Struthio camelus: one gene and its partner. The protein of the gene in region 2 interacts with the protein of the main gene of each other region in a pairwise test. Links are inferred from orthologs where the notes say so. Each region holds a gene or a part of one and is shown on either strand. Other genes may lie near its edges.

What was found. The genes of interacting proteins can lie anywhere in the genome.
Region 1: the proteins of NDRG4 (region 2) and MAL2 interact in binary tests that used the Homo sapiens proteins (3 or more experiments, as listed by UniProt). The two-hybrid records come from large-scale screens. The link is inferred for Struthio camelus from reciprocal best matches to the Homo sapiens genes NDRG4 and MAL2.

Annotation. Positions count from the first base shown.
Region 1 is NC_090943.1:158,384,780-158,392,444, reverse strand, and holds the start of MAL2 (protein MAL2), read right to left. Parts: upstream 3,019-7,665; 5' UTR 2,881-3,018; coding exon 2,746-2,880; intron 629-2,745; coding exon 458-628; intron 1-457. UniProt on the Homo sapiens protein: Member of the machinery of polarized transport. Required for the indirect transcytotic route at the step of the egress of the transcytosing cargo from perinuclear endosomes in order for it to travel to the apical surface via a raft-dependent pathway.
Region 2 is NC_090951.1:30,455,326-30,462,564, reverse strand, and holds the start of NDRG4 (protein NDRG4), read right to left. Parts: upstream 3,208-7,239; 5' UTR 3,142-3,207; coding exon 3,105-3,141; intron 1-3,104. UniProt on the Homo sapiens protein: Contributes to the maintenance of intracerebral BDNF levels within the normal range, which is necessary for the preservation of spatial learning and the resistance to neuronal cell death caused by ischemic stress.

The DNA of each region.
Region 1 (7,665 bases), on a different chromosome or scaffold from region 2:
ATGTGTTGACAAATCTATCACTTCATCTACAATATTAGATGGAGCTTTCTACTTCCCATTATTCACGGGGTGTTACCGTGACTCCTCTAATAGTTAGAAAATATTTTATTGTTTCCAGTCTGCAATTATTTCTGGCCAATTTAAACCAACTTGTTGCCATGCCTTGTTAAACTAGTCCTCTCCCTGCTGCTCACGCCTTCTATGTGTTTATAGAGGACAAGCTTACACATTCATTCAAGTTCAAAAGTCAGGCTCTTTCAGTTTCCATAATAAAACAAGTTTTACATTTCCCCATCATCCCTGTTGCTCTACTCCGTCTTCTTCCAGTTTGAATTCCTCTGCTTTGAGCAATTTTGTTAAAACAGTACGTTTTAAGTAGTACGACTTAGGATAAGTACTTCTCATTAAGTGATCTCCAGTTTATAAAGGCAACAGAATCCTTAAAACAAAATCTTACTGTCTGGTTCCAGTTGATGGCAATCCTATTTGCGTAACTGAAGAGGAACACACAGAGGAACACAATGGACAGGAACCACGCGGTCACTGCTACAAACATCACCCATCCCTGCAGCAGTGGCAGTGGAACTTGAGTGGCAGCTACCAAAATCCAGACTATTGTTCCAAACAGCTGCAAGGAAAGCAATACAGGTGACGAGCTTAGAGATAAATTTTATTTGGTCCTTTCCGTCTAAGAACTTAGCCCTTAATATCACACATCAACAAGTCCTTAGGTTACTTTGAGGAACCCAGAGAAAACACTTCAAAAGTACTTGAGGAGTCTAAGTACCATCCTCAGAAGTGATAGGCACTAAGTGGAAGTTAAGATGAAGCTCCACTAAATTCTTAAAAGCTCTTAAAGCAGCCTTGAAAATGGGATTTACAAACTCCGGTTACTCATGCGCTGCTGCTGAAAATTTTACCCTTAGTCTCAATTTGAAGGGAATACAAGAAATGTGAAAACACTGTTGACACACACACACCACAACATATGTAGTATTGATCTATACTATCAATATATATTCTAAAATCAGTGCAACAAGGATGCACATGAGATTTGGATTCAATCTTACGATGTTTAGTTTTGCTAGTCCTAATCAAATGAGATACAGAAAAGAAACTAAATTGCATCTTATTTTTCAATGCATTTGTAATAAACCGCTGAAAGAGAACAGATCAAGTAATAAAGTGAAATGGAAGACCAGAATACAGAATAAAGCAAGTTGTGCATTATGTGGTAATAACTAGAAAAGTACACAGCTTTTTAGAGTTATTGTAACTAGGAGAAGAATTCAGCCCCACAAATTTTGTTTGTAATATATTGATCTCAGTGAATATGTAGTAGGGAGGCTGCACTATGATGGGCTGAAGGAGGATTTACATATTCTAAAGCCTGTCTGTTTAAATCAGTTGTTGGTCTAACAAAGGATATTATCTCTCCCTGCAAATCCTGCCTCTTTATAAAAAAATTATGCCTGAAAAAAATCGTAATTGCCATCTGAAATATGTTCATTTATTATAGAAAAGTTTAACTTCATAATCCAAGTTGCTGTGATATGATAGCTACAATTAATTTCAAAGTAAATTACTACTTTCCAGTTTAAATCCTCTAGATCTACAATTACAGAGTCAGAAGCTATATTTTCAGATTCAAAGAACTTTCTTTGGGATCACGGTTGGAAAAGAGGTATCTTTCAGAAGGCGCCTGCTATAAGACGAACCGGGTCCTCTCTAGCGTTACGTGGCAGCAGTGTATATGTAAAGACACGCTGCTAGTCTTAGTTCAAAATTCCCACGGGGTTAACGTATTAGCCTTCAGCTTATTCTCCAGGGTTGCTTTTTTAGCTGTTACGAAGAGCCAAAGTTTCTCTACTTTCACAGGCCTGCAGGTGCAGGTCTGCTACTCAGAGACCAGACAGCGACGGGCAGCGAGGAAGCAGTGGGCACCGCAGAAAGCATCTGTGCATCCCACTACAGACACTGACTAATTTCAGCACCTGCTGCAGCGCTATTTCCCCTAACATCGCACCCGTCTGCCACAGCTTGGCTGTCAGATGTACGGCAGATTTGCCAACCTAATTAACCTTTTGTCCCTACTGACTTGGGGCCTCGTTTAGCGCCTGGACATGCACGCTGAGCTCTTTGCTCCAGTGAGGCCTGTTGCTGCTTGCATGGTGGGATCTGTCCCACAGGCCGGGACCCACGTCAGTAGGCAGCTCTGACTCCAAGGAAGAAACAAAACAACAAAATCAAAAAAAAAAACCCCGATGAGTTCTGCCAAGGTTTTTCCCCCCTGCTAATTAGGGCTACATTTCCGCCTGGGCTCATCATACTCAGCCCCAGCTCAGGGGACCTCGGTCCCGTTGAAACGAGCAGGGTCTTACACGCGGAGTTAAAGCCACCCGCAGGAGTTTCCACAGGACGCAGGCGAAAACCAGCCCAGCTTTTTCACTGAGGATTTTTGGCTCGGGCGTTTCAGGGCTTCTTAGGGGATCAAAGTCCTCACCAGCTTCAACTACCCATATAAACTCTTATTTCAGACGGTCTCCCGGGCCGGGCCGCCGCCGGCCCCCCCACCCCCGCTCGCAGCCACCTGCGGCCGGGCCCGAGGCGAGCAAAGAGGCGGCGGCAGGACGGAGAGACGCGGGCCCGGCTCCAGCCGCCGCCCGCCGCGCCTCTCCCCTCCCGCTCACAAAATGGCAGGTGAGGCCGCGGGGGAGGGGGGGAGCGCGGCAGCCGCTCACTCACGATCTCCAGGAAGATGAAGGCCCCCGAGTAGGTGCGCAGGATGTCCAGGCCGGAGGGCAGCGTGACCCGGGGCGGCGGGAAGTAGGCAACGGGGTTGGGGGGCGGCGGCATGGACGAGCCCGCTCTCGGCAACATGTTGCTGTTGCCGCCGCCGCTGCTGCCGCCGCTGCCGCGCGCGGCCAGGTGGACGCGGAGGAGGCGGAGGAGGGAGCAGGTGCGGGGGAGCGGGCGGGAGCGAGCGCACCGCCCCGGCCACCTCCCCCCGGCCCGCCCCGCGCCGCCGCGCCCTGCCGAGGTGCCGGGGCAGGGCCGCCGCCGCCGCCGCCGCCGGCCCTGCGCGGGGGGCGAGTGCGGGGCGGGGCGGCCGTGCGGGGCAGGGCGCGCGAGGGCGAGGCGCTGCGCCCCGGCTCGCCTGCGGGCGGCCTGGGGGGCTCGCTGGCGGGCGGGCGGGCTGGCGGGCGGGCTGGAGGGGCTTCGCTGGCGGACCGACGGGCTGACGGGCGGATGGGCTGGCTGACTTCAAGGGCTCCCTGACAGAGTGACTGGGGGGTTCCCTGGAGGGCTGACGGACTGGCTGACGGGCGGGGGGTTCAGTGGCTGGTGGTGACACTGACGAACTGGGGATTTGGTGACTGGGGGTGTCGCTGACTGCCTGGCTGGCGGGCTGGGGGTTTGGTGACTGGGGGTGTCGCTGACTGCCTGGCTGGCGGGCTGGGGTTTGGTGACTGGGGGTGTCGCTGACTGCCTGGCTGGCGGGCTGGGGGTTTGGTGACTGGGGGTGTCGCTGACTGCCTGGCTGGCGGGCTGGTGTTTGGTGACTGGGGGTGTCGCTGACTGCCTGGCTGGCGGGCTGGGGGTTTGGTGACTGGGGGTGTCGCTGACAGACTGGCTGGCGGGCCGGGGGTTTGGTGGCTGGCGGCGTCACTGAAGAACTGGGGGTGTCGCTGACTGGGGGTGTCGCTGACAGACTGGCTGGCGGGCCGGGGGTTTGGTGACTGGGGGTGTCGCTGACGGACTGGCTGACGGGCTGGGGGTTCGGTGACTGGGGGTGTCGCTGACGAACTGGGGGTTCGCTGACTGGGGGTGTCGCTGACAGACTGGCTGGCGGGCCGGGGGTTTGGTGACTGGGGGTGTCGCTGACGGACTGGCTGACGGGCTGGGGGTTCGGTGACTGGGGGTGTCGCTGACGAACTGGGGGTTCGCTGACTGGGGGTGTCGCTGACAGACTGGCTGGCGGGCCGGGGGTTTGGTGACTGGGGGTGTCGCTGACTGCCTGGCTGGCGGGCTGGGGTTTGGTGACTGGGGGTGTCGCTGACTGCCTGGCTGGCGGGCCGGGGGTTTGGTGGCTGGCGGCGTCACTGAAGAACTGGGGGTGTCGCTGACTGGGGGTGTCGCTGACAGACTGGCGGGCCGGGGGTTTGGTGACTGGGGGTGTCGCTGACGAACTGGGGGTTCGCTGACTGGGGGTGTCGCTGACAGACTGGCTGGCGGGCCGGGGGTTTGGTGACTGGGGGTGTCGCTGACAGACTGGCTGACGGACTGGGGATTCGGTGACTGGCGGCGTCACTGACGAACTGGGGGTTCGCTGACTGGGGGTGTCGCTGACAGACTGGCTGGCGGGCTGGGGGTTTGGTGACTGGGGGTGTCGCTGACGGACTGGCTGACGGGCTGGGGGTTCGGTGGCTGGGGGTGTCGCTGATGGACTGGCTGACGGGTTCGGTGGCTGAGGGTGTCGCTGACAGACTGGCTGACGGGCTGGGGGTTCGGTGACTGGGGGTGTCACTGACGGACTGGCTGACGGGTTCGGTGGCTGAGGGTGTCGCTGACGGACTGACTGACAGGATGGGGGGGGTCTCACTGATTGACGGACTACCTGACAGACCTGACAGACTGCCTGACAGACCGCGTGCTGCTGTAGGTTTGCCCCCAGCGAGGTTGTTGCCTCGCGTGCCTTAGGACAGGGTGCAGCGACCTGCTGTACGCGCGTGTACCTACGTCCAGGGCGCGCACGGAGAGCTGTGGTGGACCGCTGCAACGCCGCCAGCGTTCGGGGTGTTGCGGGGCCGGCGCAGGGGCTGTCACCCGGCGCCGCGGCGCCCGGCGGTGTGTGGCGTCGGGCCTGCCCCGCTCCCCTTGGAAGGGGGTGTGTTACCAGCCGGTGGGTTTCGGTTTTGGTGGGGGGGTGGTCTCGTGGTGGAACTGGGTCGCGAAACTGCTCATTCGGAAGTCCGGAGTCGGATCCAGCCAGTTTGACGGAGTTATTTCCTAACGTCACTTTGCAAAGGGTTGTTGTTTACCTTCTGGTAAAAGATATTTGAGGCCTGAGAGTTAGGAGCGTTGTTTTTAGTTTTTTGGTTTTAGAAGCCTACTTCTAACAAACAAAACTGTGTCTTTCACGCTTACCGGGGGAGGAGTTGAGGTTTTCAGGAAAAAAAATAAAAAAAAAAAAATAGAATACCATAAACCGGTGGAAGTTGCCAAGACAGTGTAATTTTGGAAAAAGATAGCAATTTCCTTTGATTTCTTTATGCCCTACAGTAGGTTCCACGTTCAAAATACTGAACACGTTTCATGTGTATCCACTTTTTTTAATCAGCATTGAACAGTGCATAGCTACATAAATTTCAGTAGTGGAAAATGTTTATTTGAGGTAAACATTTTGGATACCTAGGGGTAAAGAAAGGTGTGTGTTCGTCAGACCACTTACAATGTATTCTGTCATCTTTCTTGGTATAAGTAACTTGCAGAGGAAAGATATAGCCATCATCAAGCGTTTTTGTTATTCCTCTCTGGTGGGTTAGGAGAGGTGCTTTGGGGACTGCAGGGAGTTGTCTCACTGGGATGCCCAAGTACTACTTCATCCAGTACTATCCCATATAATGTTTTGTAAAAGGGACTAAAATTCCTTCCAGGTGTTTCTCCTCGACATATTCAGCTGTGATTTTTAAGATCAGGTTTCTAAGAGGGTTTCATGCAACTGTAGTTACTCTGGAGGCTGAACCAGCTAGGCCGCTAACATTGTATTCTTTTATTTTTAGATACATGGCACAGTTTTGCTTCTGAGATGACTAGAAACACCTTGGTCTGAGATGCCTGTCTTCCCCGCCCCAGTTCAAAATCTAGTTGAAGCAGTCAGCTCCTCTCAGCTATGCTCAGAGCACACCTAGTACTGCAGTGGGATCGGGATACTTCTAAAATGCGGTAATAGCAACACAGTTTTTAAATCGTGACTGCCAGAAGAGGAAGAAGCAACAAGTCCTACTCATTCTTATGCCTTCTCTAGGCCCATTCCTTTTTTCATGTTGCACAACTTCAGGAATGGGAGAAGGGAATACCTTTCCTCTCCTCACCCCCATGCCCTTTGCAGCTGGATGCCTCCTGCACCCCTAAGAAGTGGGAGATGTGAGACTGAATCCATGAGGCTAAGGAAGACACTTGAGCCTAGCCTCTTCGCTTTTCTGAGTGCTTTAACCGGTTGGTTATCAGATAAGAAACGGATGCCTCTTATTCCTCCTCTAGACACATTTTAGGAGTGAGCACTGAGTTCCCGTCATTTATCTTCAGGGGAGGATTCCAGGCTCTGGAGGCACCTACAGCTCCTGACTGAGGTGTGTTTTGGAGGGGAATGAGATTCAGACTTGTGTCCAGTTGGTTAGCTGTAGGTTCTTGGGACTGCGTTCTAGAGGGCCTGATGTCCAATGAACTTTATGATCTGGCCCTGAATCTGTTGTGAATGCCCTGCACTGGGAGAAATCTGAGTGGGTGGAAAACTGGGTGGATCAGTTTATGGTTTGGAACGCAGAGCGTGATTATCCTTATCTTATTCGAGGGAAGTTCAAATAGCACTTGGTCATAAACATTTCCAGTTTTATTATCCAGCTACATAACTAATCTGCATGAACTCCATCAGCAGTGGATTTTCCTGGTGATTGCAGACCATGTGCAGTTTTTTTTCTTTTTGCTTGTAACTGCCATTCATTTTAACCTGCACAATCCTTTAACACTGATTTTTCTGGAATTTGAGTAGGTTTTCATAGCAAAGTCTAGATTTTACTGTTCAGGTGTATTTCTACACAAATGGCCCTAAAGCAGATTTATGGCAATACTGTTTCCTAAATCCTAGCCATTTCAATTAAAGTAGCTAAGTTATTTTTACTAGGTCTGGGCAGGAAGTGTTACAATACCATATGTGATTGTTTATCTACAGATTCTGATACAGTTTCAATCTTTAAAAACCTGAATTCTTTAAGAGGTTAGAATCAGGACTGCGTTTTTAAGTTGCCATGGCATGAGTGCGTGTTTGTGTTGGATAGCTTGGTTAATAGCATTTTTATGTAAATAATTGCGTCTTGGCATCTCACAGAATAAAATAATGATGCTGCTTCAGGTCTGCCTGCCTGTAGAGTCAAAAAGTAGACAGAAGTATATTTATTCATAGTACATAAGAAGGTCTATCTACACAACCAAAGGGCTAAAAACTTCTTTTAATTAAAATATTTTATAAATAAATTCTAAACTCTTCCCCTTGGTTTTCTTCAAGTGCATATTAAAGCCTAAACTAAAGTTGGGATTGTCACAGAACTGCAAAATCAGTTGCTGTCATTTTTAGATGATAAGAAGTGTCCGCAAGAAGAGGAGATACAAGTGGAATAAATTAAAATTCCAATATTTAAAAACTCCAAATATATGCAAGTATATATTGCATGTCAGTAGCTAGTACAGTGAAAACACTAGTAGAATGGGACTTTGTTTACAAGTCTTATAGATTGTTGATAGAGAGTGAGTAATTTTTTTCAAAATTTAGAGATAATCCTTGGGGGATATATGAGTGAGGAAGTTAAATGAATAATCTACAATACACAAAAGCATCATAGGTTGCTTTTAGGAACAGCAGTCCTAAGCAGCAAAATTCAGGCTGCC
Region 2 (7,239 bases):
CAAGAGCCAGGCATTGCCAGTCTGAAACATCATGGCTCCATCTAAAGGAGTAGCTGTCAGCACCCAGCATGGGCACTGCATCTCCCTGCCCCGCGGGGTGGCAGGGACCTCAGGCTACGGTTGCTGGCACTCCTTGGGGCCGCCTGTGCCATCTCCAGCAGCCTTGCCAGCCAGCCACGCTGCAGTGCTGTGTTTCCCAGCCAAAAAGACTTAAAATGGAGACTGGGGGAGAAGTAAATAGCACTGGGCCCTCCCATCGGCCCCCAATGCAAAAGATAGGGTCTGTGGCTAAGGTGGCAGCTGCTGCCACCCCATTAGTGGCCCTGGGCAATGCTGGTGGGTTCAGAGAGCTTGTAACGGAGCCTGGAGAGGAAAGGGCAACCCAGACACACTGCGAGTGGGAGGGAGGCAGTGAGATCCCGCAGACAGGGCACAGCCAGCCTGGGTGCTGGTTGGGGACCCCTCTCTTGGGTGCCTGGAGCGGGTGGTGGGTGCCCTGGCAGGCCTGAGCCCACTTCTCGAAATGCAGCAGGGGGAGCATGGAAGCACTCCGAAGGGGGAGCCTCATGCACGCGTAGCACTGTGAGATGCAGCATCTGCCACCAAGAGGTTTGGGACATTGAGAGGTCCTGGCTGTGTGGCTTGGGCATCTCTGCAGCCTGGCACCGTGACACACCAGGTGCACCCTAATGCAACCATGGGGCACGAGCGATCCTGTCCCATGCCGAGGCAACATAGCTGGGAAAGCATCCTTTCCCCCCACAGCTTGACCTCTGAGAGCAGGCAGCACCCACTGTCTGGGTATGCTCTCACCCCCCACAGACTCGCATCTGCCCCTGCTCTGCCTTCCCAACGCTGTGCCACCATTTCCTGGGCAGAGTAGGAACCACCTCCTCCAAAATCCCAAATCAATCCCAAATAGAGCACGGCACCAGCCACCTTCCATGCTAAGAGGACGTCAAAGCAAGAAACTCTCTGCACCCTCGTAGGCCATTGCAAGCAACAATTTAAGCCTGCAGCTGCATCCCAGGCTCTCACAGTATGTTAGCTTGAGCCCTTGCAAACATCCAGCCCTGTGCCTGCATCCTGCAAGGATAGGCTCTAACTGGGTGCCAGAAAAGGAAGAAAAACTTCCTTCCAAAGGGGAAAGGAAACGGCTCCCAGCGGGAGGGGGAGAAGGGCCGAGCAGAGACATAGGAGCTGCACGCAGGACCCCACTGTGCCCAGCGACACACAGACCCCCAGACAGGGCCACTGCAGCTGTCCCTGCGGGCTGTGCTGTGGCATCAGCCCACCGGTGCTCTGCCCTGACATGGTCCTGGCATCGCACACGCAGATGTGAGTGGAAATGGCCACGCTGGCTCCCCCTCCCCAGGGAGCTGCAGCCGAGCGGTGCCTACTGGAGTAGAAGCGGCTTACGGCAGGGAAATGCATTACTGTTATTAACATTATTATTAATAACAGCACACACAGCCAGCTGCGAAAGCACGTGTGGGGAAGTCAGCTGTGGCACTTCAGGGCGCCCAGCTCTGCTGGCCTCAACTCCCACGGCTGCCTCTCACTTACCAGGGCTGCGACTATCAGCAACAGCCCCGTGCAAGCGGCACAGGGAGGAAAGGACCTCGGCGAGCATCGGTGAGAGCTCAGGGCATTTTACAACTGCGATGAGATGCCAGGGAGCCCAAGGGTTGCGCTGGCAGAGACGTGAGACCCCACTAGGCTGGGAGATGAGGCCATGTCGATGCAGGGGGGGAAGCCAAAGGCGATGCTGGGCCTGGCGCTTTCGGGGCTCTGTGTGAAGATGCCGGCTGTCTCGGCAGTGGCTGTTGCTACGAGCAACCTCCTCCCCAGCCCTGCTCCTCAGGGCACCAGGAAGGAAACAACACAGCAGCTAGACACCCCAGGGAGGCTCGCGAACAGCAGCAGATGCTGCCTGGCCCCACGCGGGCCGGAGGCTGCACCGAAGGGATGCTCAGCGGCCCCATGCACACCCAGCACCCTCCCCCAACATGCCATGCTGGCTGCCCAGCAGAAAGACCCCAGCCCGCGGGACCCCCGGCACCAGGAGGCTGGTGACACAGTCCCAGCCTGGTCCCTGCCATTGGCAGCCACCAAGCCGGGCTTCCCCAGCTGCAGCCCTCCTCCTCGCCAGCCTTCCCCCAAAACATCCTCCCTCCAAACAGCCTTCTCATGGTGGGGAGAGGCAGGTGGGGGTCCCTGCAGTCCCAGCTCGCTGGCAGGGATCAAAGGACTCTTTGCACCCCGGGCATCGCGACCCCCCCCATCTTGCTTACGCCAGAGTTAATCTCTCCCCAGCCCACGAGGCTCCTCCTCAGCTTGGGGGCAAAGCCCAGCACCCCGCAGCCCTGGGCACCCAGCTCCTGGAGCACCTGACCACCGTGTCGTGCCGTCCGCCGGAGCAGGCCACTGCATGTCCATCTGGCACAGCGGGTGCGCACGGCCCCCGAGACAGCGCTCCAGAGCCCCCCAGGACAGCGAGGGGGAGGAGGAGACGGTGTAAGTTACCTGCGTCACTCAGGGCACATCTGCGGCCTCCCGGAGGGACGGCCGCTGGCCCCCGTGACCCCCGTGGCCCCCGACATCATGCAGGCCCCCGAGGCGAGCGGCGGCAGGGGGACCCGCTCACAGCAGGTGCTGTTCAGGGATGGAAAAGCTGCCAGCCGTGATTCAGGGAGGGGACCGCAGCAGACACCCCATGCACGGCCCAGCTCTGGAGGGGAGGAGAGAGGGGAAAAGTGGCGGCAGCAAAGCGGAGCCACAGGGCTACCCCAAGAACGGCACGAACCGAAGCAAGAGCGTGACCCCCAACACAGCTCAAAGTGAAGCCATAGCACAGCCCCAAAGCCTGCAAAGTCCAGCAAGAGCTCAGCCCCCCCAAACTGCAAAGTGAAGCAATAGCGTGACACCCCCCCCCCCCCCCCCCCATAGCACAGAGCGAAGCAGCCGCTCACCCCCGAGCCTGCGGAGCCGCAGCGGAGCCGCGGCCGCGCCCCGAGGTCCTGCCGGGCTTAAACCCCCGCTGCGGCCGAGCGGCAGGTGGAAGCGGGGCGCAACGCCCGGGCCAAACCGGGGCCGCGCCGTACCTGTCAGCAGCTCTATCTTGTGCCGCAGCACCTTCATGCCGGGGCGGCGGGTCCCGAGGCCGCCGGCGGGCGGGGGGGCGCGGCGGGCCCCGGCGCGGGAGAGCGAGCGGAGCCGGAGCCGGAGCCGGAGCCGGAGCCGGAGCGAGGCGCGCGGGGCGGCGCAGGGGCGAGGCTGGGCACGGTCCCCGCGCCGGGCCGGTTCCTCCCCTCACCGGGCCCGGAGGGAGGGGACGGCGCCGGGAACGGGGCCGGGCCGGGGGGCTCCGGGGGGACAACGGTCCGCGCCGCGCCACGCCCGCCTGGGCCGGGGGGAGCGATTTACCGGAGGATGCCGTGCTGCCGGGGGGAGCACATCGCCCCGCGAGGCACCGGGGGGCTGTGCAACCGGCGGCCCCAGGAGCAAGGGGTCTGGGGCCCCTGAGAGCAAGGATAGCGATGGCCAAGGTGCCTGGAGGTCCCTGGGAGCATAGGACAGTGTTGGTCAATGCACCTGGGGGGGGAGGGGACAAGGGGAACTTGTGCAGCTGGCGCCCCTGGAGCAGGGCCCTGATGCCCAAGGGGCCGAGGGGGGGTCTCATGGAGGGGGACAGTGATGCCTGAGAGGTCTAGGGGGAGACAGGAGTGGAATCTGTGGCTGGGACAGCAGTGGCCCCATACACATGGATGCTGGAAGTCAAGGCGGTGGCAGCTCTTTGGGGTGGAGCAAGAGGTTGCGAGGTAGCTATTTGGGTCAGGCAAAGCCAGGGGCTTGGAACAGTGCCGTGGGCCTGGAGAGCATTGGAAAGGGCCCACAGTGGCAAAGATGCAGGACTCCCTCCTTCTGCACAGGGCACGAAGGCCGTTGCTGCTCCACTCTGCTTGTGCTGGCTGGGCTGTGATCCTGCCCCATTGGGGCCACAAGCTCTGTGGGGCAGCTGGTACATGGAGGTTCACCCACCACCCTTTCCAAGGTGCTCAGCTTTCTAGAAGAGCCAGGGGCTCCCACAATGGCAGGGTATAAAGCAGAGCTGTGTCCTGAATCAGGAGAGCGGGTCCAGCAAAGATGGATGCCCCAACCTGCCCAGAGTGCTCATCCCTGTCATCCTCAGCCGTGAGGAATTGAGCTGGACCAAGCCAGCCAAGCCAAACCTGCCTATTTTCCCTCCTATGTAGCTATTTGGTGAGATTTTAATGTGCTTTTCCACAATTAAGAACATAAGAGCCCCAGGTTACTTGAGCTAACTGTACAGGACATCTCATTCAAAACCCCAAATTGGCCCTCTCTAAAACACTCCCCCCCCCGCAATCACTGAGGATCCTTAAACCTCCCCTCAGTGGTCTCAGTTCCCTATCAAACCCAGCCCCACGCTGGGCTCACATGGGAGGACTCAGGGGTCCTGCTGCAGATTGTTCCATGGGCTTCGGACCATGGACTGACCTGGTGTCCAGGGTAGCACTCGCTCCTATCCCCTATTATACATTTTCCCCAGGAATTTCCAGGTAAAACATTTCATGTCTCCATTACAAATAAGGTGTGCATGAGCCAGGGAATGACCTTGATTTATCCTGGATTTGAGTGCTATTTACTTGTCAGCACAGGAAAGTCAAAGTTTCCTGTAGGATGAGTGAGGTTCAGGTTCTCGTGCACCAGAAGAGGTCCATGTGAGATGTTGCAGGAGGATCATGATTTTGGTGCTGGGACCTTGGAGAGAACCTCTGCCCCAGAGGTCCTGGGGGACTGGCAGGCAGCAGGACCAGGCTGATGCTGGAGAGGGATTTCTTGGTGGTCCCTGTTACTATCAACTAAGGGCCTCTGGAGCAGTGCTAGCATCTTCAGAGGGTCAATGCAGGGGATCATTTCTAGCTTTGTTAGCACCACCTTCAATTGGAGATCTCAGTTTGCCCTCAACCCTAAAGTCCCAGGATGCGGCAGATGCCCAAGGACTGCTTTGGCAACTATATCAAGTCCGGTGTCCTAGACATCAGCCTCATCTCCTCATGGCTGGCCACAGCAGCCAGTGCATCTATTTACTTCATGACACCTTTCAGTTATAGGCATGTCTCCTGGCTGCAGGCAGTGAACAGCTCATCCCACAAGCTCCTGCTAAGGGGCTGGGAAGATACACGCTGCTGATACGGGCACTAATTTCCATTCCTGGTACATCTGTTTTAACAGCTTGTCCTTGGCTTTTTGGACGGCAATCAGTTTTGAGCTGATTTCAGCCTCTCCCATTGAGTCACCCATAGCTCAGCATCCCGGGCTGCATTCACCTTCTCACCTATGAGGCAGAAAAAAACTGGGAGGGAACACAAGGACCATTTAACCCCTCAGCTAGGAGCCAGCCAAGTGCATTGCTCTTGTGGAGGTCAGATCTTCCCTACCTTCAGAGCTGTGTTTCACCCCGTCTCCAAGTCCAACAGCCAAGGGGTTCCTCTGAACCAGTCAGGGTCAGCTTTGGCTTGTCCTCACCCAGTGCAAATCTAAACGTACTCCTCCGATTGCCATGGCTTTGTACCAGAATAGATGGTTTTCATACTGAGGATTTATCCTGTCTGCATCAAGTCCAACATTATCCAATAACAGCTTTTAGATGGCTACCTTGTCAAAGGAGCCAACCATGTGGCCGAAATAATTGCACAATTAATTAGGCCTGGGAAGAGCACAAGCTCTCCACGCATTAAGCTGGAGACAGTGGAGCATAAACCCATGTGAGAGTTCAGAAACCACCTGCTGATGCAGAGCAGCTTGCACCCTGAACTGTGTGTTTAAAGGGAAGCGAGTTTTACAGCATGGATTTTTCCACATTGTTTCGCATTGTGCTTTTAATACAGGTCAACGTGGCATTTTCTACATGCATGGCTTTGCACTGTGCTTTTAGCTCAGCCATGCGACACTAAACTAATTGGACAAAGGTCTCGCTCCAGAGACAGCCTAAGGGAGGTCACAGTCCTGAATGAGGGCTCCCCAGACCTGGCAGGGGGTTAGAAGATGCCACTTGTAGACCTGTGACACTCGCCAACATTCACACCCTCATTGCCAGACACTGCCTTGGCACCCACGCTTCCCAGGGTGTTGGTGGTCTGGCAGGGCCCCAAGGAGCCCTTTGCCTGGAGCTGTTGCTGCCAGCCCAAATGCTGAAGTTGGGCTGCAGCTGTTTGAGCAGTATCCTGCAAGCTCCCTGCAGAGTCCAAGCAGCCCAGGGACACCTTGGACTTGCAGCAAGTGGGCTGCAGCGTGCCGGGCATCTGCCTTGGCCGCAGCGGGATGGGAAGCAGGGAGGTGGGAGAAGGTGCCAGATGCTACGAGGTGAGTCAAGCCTCAGTCATAAGACCGACCACGCTCCTTCTACTCATCAGCGTAGGAAAGGTGGCAAGAAACACGGTGTCACTTGCTAGATCCGAGCCTCTGCCCTGCCTCTCCAGGCTGGCAGGTTAGAGCGGAGGGTGCAGCCAGCAGGCAAAGGCAGGGCCATTAACTCTCTCATGCCTGGGTGAGCCTCCATCCTCCTCCCACAGTGAGCAGAGGGGGCCGAGCCAGATGGCATGCAGCAGGAGATGCTATTTTAAGCCCCCCAGTTGTGATCTGGACCCCTCTGCCCTGGCTGCCTGGTGTCTTTTCCAAGGACACACCCTGGCCGACATCATTTCGCAGCCCCCTCCTTCCCCAATGCATCGGTTTACTACACCACAGACAGAGCAGAGTAATTTTCCATGGCCCCGCCAATGCCAGCGAAGGCGCAGGGAGCATGGAAAGGGCTCTCTTCATTGCAAAAGCAGCAGCTCCCGTCTGTCCCATGGCCTGAGTGGCTCTGAGTCATGGCTCTGTAGCAGGCACTTGCTGCCGTGTCCAGAATGGTGCAGACAGCGCTGATCCGAGTGCACGGGCCTGGGTCAGACTTGGAGTGAGCTGCTCTGACCCTGATGTGGGGCTGACAGGGGCTACAGTTTTCCCCTGAAGCCCAGGGGTTTAGTGCAGGAGTGGGGGTGGGGGTTTGTACCATCTACCTGTATCCTTAGACTGCATATTACTGCAAGCCAAAAACATCCACGGGGCTGCCTAAGGATTTCACCGCACTCAGCACAGCCCGGGCTCTTGCAGGATTTGTCAGTAGGGAAACTGAGGCATGGAGCGCCTGGGCCCAGGAACGGGCTGCCA